2 linked regions of the Drosophila melanogaster genome follow. The protein of the gene in region 1 interacts with the protein of each later gene in a pairwise test. Each region holds a gene or a part of one and is shown on either strand. Other genes may lie near its edges.

Region 1 (3,992 bases):
CGGTGACGGTGGCCACTGGAACGCGAACTCCTCCGCTGGAAAGGAGCAGGCTGCCCGCCTGAATCTCCAGCTCATTAGCTGGAGCTCTAAGGGCAAGCACTCTGATTGAGAAACGCGAAATCCCGAAGATTCAATACCTACACATTGTTGCCTTGCTTAACGCAATGGGCGGCGGTGACAACGTAGTCCTTGGAGATTATGGAGCCACCACAAGTGTGGCTTCCACGTCGACGTAGTGAGATCTGGTGAGGAAACTGACCCTCCCTCGCCTTGGTGCCGCCCACAATGCGGGGCTCCACTACGGAATCGTTTTGTGCCAGGACTCCGGCTGCGCAAAGGACGAGTAGAGATGTCCAGAATGGTAACATGACTGGTTGGGCTTAGCTAACTGAAAAGCAGTGCTCACTGCAAGTTTCACTGGATGTATATATATATATATGTATATGTATGCATATATACTACCCAAATCTAAGACGCTCATCATCATTAGTTCCTTAAAATGTCAAAGTCAATGTCGCTATCGAGCTGCTGCCTAATTTAGTTTAGTTACCCCATTTCGTTCGCAAATGAAGCCCCTCTAATTACAAGGGGTGTGCAACGCACGGTGGTAAGAGTTTGGAGGTCAAAGTTGGACGAAAAGGGTTAAGGAAGCACGAAAATGTTTAAACGAAATTTGCCGAAAGTTTCCTATTGCATAATTATTGCACATTTATTATAATTATTAGATCTTAAAGTGCAGATCTCTTCAGTTTCGAACAGCAAAAGAAGGCATTTAAAAAAAAGGTTTGGTTTTGGATTTTGAAAAGTCTTCAAGTTTCCTTATATAACTAATTGTAGGCCCAAATTACGTAAAGCTTGCCTAAATTGACCCTAAAACCGGAATGCTTTATCGATGACTCGAGTTCTGGGCTATAAAAGCCATGCCATTGAGGTCATAAATACAATAAATAAGCATGCTTAGTTAGCGATTATTACGTTAACCACAAGTCCAGTGGCAATCACCGATCCTTATCCTTATCAAAATCAAACTATTGAGTCATTTTGCCCGCTTTGAGTTTGGGAAAATAGTTTCTATTTTGTTAGCTTGTGAAGGAAAAACGGGATGAAACGGATCTAGGCGATCTGCTCCTGGATCCAATCCGCGTAGCTGGAGAGTCGGACAAAGACATCCGGATAGCGGGAGCCACAGGCGCCCACCACAAAGTTGGTCAGCCCGATCAACGTGTTGCCATAGATGGCACCACCGCCTCCGTCTCCGTGGCAGGTGCCCTCCTTCAGCTCGTGGGCGAGGCAGAAGCTCTGCTCGTCGTGATCGCTGTACGCATCCAGGCAGGTCGCCTCCGGGGCCACCTTTAGCGATATCTGACGGATCTTGTAGGAGTTGGTGCCGTCGCTGGTGCGTCCCCAGCCGGCCACGATCACCTCCGATCCCTCGGCGGGCAGTGCCTCTCCGCTGGCGACCAGCGGGATGGCAGTGATCCGATCGGTGTAGGTCAGCTCAGAGCTCAGCGTGATCACGGCCAGGTTGTTGTTCAGATTATAGTAGTCCGGATGCACTGCAACCGATTCCACGTTGACAATCTTGCCACCAGCATACTGGTTGGTACTGCCCACGCGGCACGCCAGGCGACTGGCATCGATTCTGTTGGGGATTTCGTGAGAATAATCTAGATTACTTTATCAAGACTTTTGTATTGAATGTATTGTATATAATGGTTTAAACAAAAAGGGAATACATGGTTATTCGAGGCATAGGCCATCTTCAAATATCACTCATTCGCCTAGTTGTACAAACCAAACTACATATTTGCTACTTCCACTATTTAAGAGCACTTAATATTAATAATATGAATCAATTAATTAGTAGTAAAAATTAATTAATTAGTAGATTGACTTTGGTACTCACAGCTTTCCATCGCGATGCACACAGTGGGCGGTGGTCAGGATTTTGGTCTGGGAGAGAATGCTACCGCCGCACACATGGGCATTGTCCACCCGCAAGGAGGCGGTGAAGGTCGTGGCTGTGGCGTCCGCGTCCTCCCCTCCCATGATGCGTCCCTGGGCGTGGCACATGCCCACCGCCGTCAATCCGATCAGACCCAAAATCACTAGTCTCGGCTGCATCATTTTGTTCCTGTATTTTTTTTTTGGTTTTTTATTTGGTGGTTCTGCTACCCACGGCAGTTGGAATGAAAATGCGCAATGCCAGCGACGAGAATATAAGAGACTAGCTCCATATAACTACCACCTCCTCCACCTTCTACCCGAAGTTCTCCACCACTTCCTTGACCAATCCTTATCTTCGGCTTGGGCATCAGAGAAAATCTAATCTTATCGCCTTATGGCAATGGCTTTATGCCGCTATAGACTATTGTTACTTGTTAGTTCACCGATTAATTGGCACATAAATAGAAAATTGCACAAGTCGGTTGAAGGGAAGTCCAAATAAACCAAACGACCAGTGTCCAGTGACAGTACAACTACAACCATCTATAGGAGATAATGATGAGTAACACATGACTCAGGGGAGCTACGGAAATTAGGGTGCTTCAGGTCTCAGAATAATCTAAAATCAGTCGTGGAAAACTTTGGATTTTTTGAGTTGCTCTTTCAATAAAATGTCTAAACATTTTGGTGTTAATTAAACTCTATAAAATTGCCTTGAATGTAAGCAAATTATCAACGTATTTAGTAGGAATTACCCTTTAGCTTGGCGATAACAAATCTGGATTATAAAGATTTAGCCCAGTCATTGGCGATTGATCAAGCTAGCTGCACAAAAGTTTGGTTCCCAGGTTGATTACGGCGATTTCCTTCGATCTCTATCTAAATGTTCTGTTAAATAGCCATACTCTCTAATATATATGACTCCATAAACAATAATAGCCAATTGTTGTGACCATTTACTTGGCAATTTTGTTAGATAATCCTTGACGGCATCCCATAAATTAGAAACAGGTTTCAAGGTAATTTCTTAGTAATTAAAGAACCTTTGAACGGCGCCAATTAAATGTTATTCTATCGATTGTAGCTTTATGACCAGCACTAAATTCCATATAGTTTGCATCCATATAAAGTTAAAAACACAAAACGTTTTTTTTTGTAGAGGGAGTAACACACTTTATGCACATGAAAAAAATGTATAAAAAAATAAAGGGTAGTCCTTGGATGGCGAACCAAAAGTTTTACTGGGTATTGGCCTCGATCCAGGTTAGGTAGTAGGAGACACGGGTGGCCACATCCGGATACTTGCTGCCGCAGGGTCCGAAGTTGAAGCTGGTCAAACCGCGAAGCACCTTGTCGTCATCGATGACAGCCGCACCGGCATCCCCACGACAGATGCCCTCGCCCTCGGCTCTCGAGAGGCAGACGACGGATTCGTAGCCGTATCCGGCTTCCCATTCGCACAGGGATCGGCTCAGCGTATTGTAGTTGGCCTTCTGCTGTTTATAGGATGCAGTACCATCCGAAAGTTCACCCCATCCAGCCACATAGACCGGAGTTCCGTTGGGCAGCTCAGCGTCCACATCTTCCGTCTCCTCATCAGTTGTGGGGGGCAGTGCGATGTCTTGGATGCGATCGCTAAAGACCAGGGTCTCGTCCAGCTCCAGTATGGCGATGTCGTGCAGGAAGTTTCCGTACGATGGATGGATGATCACGCTCTTTACATTCACAATGCTGCCGCCGGCGTACTGGTTAATGGTGCCCAGGCGAACAGCCAAGGTGCTGGCATCCACTCTGGGGATTTAGAACAAATAGGGATTAGAACTGGTAGATGAATATATATTCTTAAAGTTCTCAAAGTGAAGTGCTTAGGGAATCCAAGTGTATATAATCATAAAGTGTAGTTAGAACTCACGGGGTGATGCCCACGCTGGACACACAGTGGGCGGCGGTCAGGATGTGGTTTGTTGAGATGATGGCGCCGGAGCAGACGTGGGCCTTGTTGTATCTCACGGATGCGGACCAGGGGTACTCGCCCTGGGCAACGT
Region 2 (3,136 bases), on another chromosome or scaffold:
GTACTGCAGCATGGCAGGGCTTTAGATGAGATTTGGTCAATCACAAGTGCTTGGAGCGAAACATGTTCAGTTTTTTTATTCGCTCAGACGCGCTACTCTGCCAGGAGATTGGTAGCATTTAAACCAAGGTGGCACACATGGGGTTATGAACACTGGGATGCGGGGTGCCGACGCTAACATTCAAACACATAAATAACACGAAGTCTAAAGATAATTGCGCTGCGAGACGGTTTTAGCGAGTTTTTAGTTTTAATTTTGTTTTGACACAAACGCAGAAGAAGAAGTGAGAGTGATTGGCCAGGGTTGCATTGCGTTGCATCTCGATGGCCGCCAATCGACCAACCAGCCAACCGATAGTGCGATACCAATAACAAACCGCTAAAAGCAAGAAGAAGCATATCACAGATAAACAAATTTTTAACCGACAAGTTGCCTATCCGACAAAATCCATATTTAATTAGATTGCATCTTGAAAGGGGCATGGAGCCGGTTCCAGAGGAAGCCCGAGGAGTGGGTGATGACGAAGGGGAACTCGATTGTCTAACACATATGATTGGGGCGTTGCTTTTGCAAAAAGAACCGGAAAATCCTGAAAATGGTGACTCAAAGGAAACAATTTGGAGTGGAGAGCTCGAATGGGAGGATGCACAGATATTGGATCAACCGAAGACTCTGCACACGGTCCAATGCAAAATCTGCTCCATGGTTAAAGAAGGTCAGCCGGAGATCAACACGGAGAACTGGCCAAACAAGCTGAAAACACAACTGATACCCAAAAAAGTGCTGGGTAAAATTGGCGAACAATTCCTAAAGGATGCCAGGATGGTTGTATTCCGATCCAGCCAAGGAGAGGTACTCAATTTATTGATCACGGCGATGAGCTCTGGTTTCGCTGGTTGCATCCACTTCCCCTCCAATCCCAACTGCAACATCAAGGCTCTAATTCTCATCTACTCGCGCGATCATCAAGCTTTGGTTGGCTTCATACCCAACAATGAGGATTCGTTTAGCGAACGACTGCAGGAGATTCTTCAGGGTGCAAAACGAAAGCCGGGCGTCAAAACACCCAAGCAGCCACAGCCAGAAGAACCGCCTCCTGTGGAGGAAGATGCCATTATAAATGAACTCCTATGGACTGGATCGCTGAATTGGTCGACACAAGCAAGTTTAGAGGAGCCAAGCATTAGTCACAAGCTTGAGTGTTCCGTGTACATAGCTATAAAAAACGGTGATCCCGGGATCAGTGCGGAGGATTGGCCAACTGATATGCCTATGGTTTTGATGCCTTCAATTTATCTTGGTCAGTTCGCCGGAGCGTTTATAAAGGACTCGAAACTTATAATTCTCCGATCGACACCTGGAGAAGAACACGACTCGCTAGCATCATCAATGTCCGCCGGCAGTTGTGGCTGTGCCCGATTTTCCTCCGAGGTCGTCTGCAAGGTTATCATGCTGCTGTATTCGTCCCCGAGGAACGCCTTCCTGGGCTTTATTCCGAGAGATCAAGCTAATTTCGTCAAGCGATTGCGGGAAGTATTAGACGAACATCGCCAAAAGGCGAGAAACAAAGAGTAAACAAGTATCTCAAGATGATCTCAAAGTATATTTAAAATATTTATTTGAACTCTAGGTATATCAAATTTATAGTCATCGAAGAAAGTATTGTTTTATAATTAGATATTTTTTTTTTTTTTGTTTAATTATTATAAATATAGACCAAAGAATATTTAAACAAGATACGCTCGCACGTCCCCAGTGGGAAAACATACCAAGGCTAAAATATGTAATCAGATAAATAATCATAAAACTGCGAACTCCTGAATGCATTTACGCAAGTTTGTATTACGAATGTCTGTCATACGTTGCCATATTAAAACTTAACCGATCTTATAAATAAACATTTTTGATGTGCATCTATTATGTTTATGTTCTACAACTAGGTCAAGGACAACTGTGTTATCGCATGTCAGATGCTGCAGCATTAATAGACATTAAAAAAAAAACCCCGACTGTAAAATAAGTAATCTAATGAATGCTTCTATTTAGGAAGTTTGAAATAAAAATAATCTTCCGAATGCAAAATCCTTTCCTTTTCGTATTAGTTGTGAATTGATCGAATAAGTATTTTCATATGTTGGGTTCATCATCTTCGTCTTAAGGATTACATTTTCAAAGGTCAATTAGTCTTTTTCATTGCGTAAGCCTTGTAAAAAATGTTAACGAATTTGATTCAGTTTTAAATTTTGAAACGAACCCATTCGATGCGGCCTTGAATACCAGTCATATATATATTGGAGATCTTTTACACATTTTTAGTATAGTTTTCGATTTCTTTAGCGGATATCAACATGGCCTCAGTAAAATTGGTGTGTTGGTACTAATCATATCTGCGTTCCAAAATCTAATATTTTTTAAAATTTTCGCACAGTTCTTTATTGCTATTTTGGTTGTAGCTCTATCCCTTAACACCTCAGCTGCAGTGTTGAACCCTAGTTCGACTGCCAAACCCAGATTTGAGACGAAAGACCGAAAACTAAGTGCTGGCGCTCTGCAGTCACTCGCTGGTTAATTACTATAGAAAGCTATAGATAAAATTGTCATTATAAAAATGGACCAAAAATAAATTATTTTCAACGAATTTCTCTTAAGTTTCTTTCGTTTGGGATACAGTTCGAAATCTTTACAAAGATATTTTATTTGGGGTTTTATTAGATAGACACTACAAGCTAGGGAACCCGGGCGGAACCAGCTGTATTTAGCATTAGCCCTAAGCTCTAAATGGACGAGGTGGCATAGTCGGCCGGGAACTTGAACAGGTGCTTTCCAGTGGCCTGAACGGAGGGAAGGAGTCCCGCGTTCGGAATGATGTTCCACGAGAGGTATAGCGATACGTTGCGGTTGTCCTTCAGGCCATTCCCGTCGTCCCAGAAGTAGTACTTGGTGTTCATGTTCTTGAAGTCCAATACGGCATTGTCGCCGCGCAGGATAATCTTGTCCCACAGTACCACCTGGTTGAGTTGATTGGCCGGTGTCTGGTACTCGGCGGTGAGATACAGGAACAGCTGCTTCACGTTCCAGTTGAAGATGCCTGTGAGATTCGTTTGCAGATCGAAGGTCACGAAGCCCAAGTCGTGCT

What was found.
Region 2: the proteins of sphe (region 1) and Acp95EF interact in a two-hybrid assay, tested with the Drosophila melanogaster proteins (one large-scale study listed by BioGRID).

What each region holds. Positions count from the first base shown.
Region 1 is NC_004354.4:16,699,771-16,703,762, forward strand, and holds sphe (spheroide), read right to left. Parts: upstream 2,203-3,992; 5' UTR 2,128-2,202; coding exon 1,907-2,127; intron 1,643-1,906; coding exon 1,114-1,642; 3' UTR 676-1,113; downstream 1-675. Other genes in the region: CG9676 (uncharacterized protein), read right to left, coding at 1-86, 142-368; CG9673 (uncharacterized protein), read right to left, coding at 3,186-3,738, 3,860-3,992.
Region 2 is NT_033777.3:24,226,644-24,229,779, forward strand, and holds Acp95EF (accessory gland protein 95EF), read left to right. Parts: upstream 1-2,331; 5' UTR 2,332-2,348; coding exon 2,349-2,366; exon of another isoform or gene 2,367-2,428; coding exon 2,429-2,569; 3' UTR 2,570-2,636; downstream 2,637-3,136. Other genes in the region: Spps (Sp1-like factor for pairing sensitive-silencing), read right to left, coding at 1-12; CG13609 (uncharacterized protein), read left to right, coding at 481-1,575; Spase22-23 (spase 22/23-subunit), read right to left, coding at 2,775-3,136.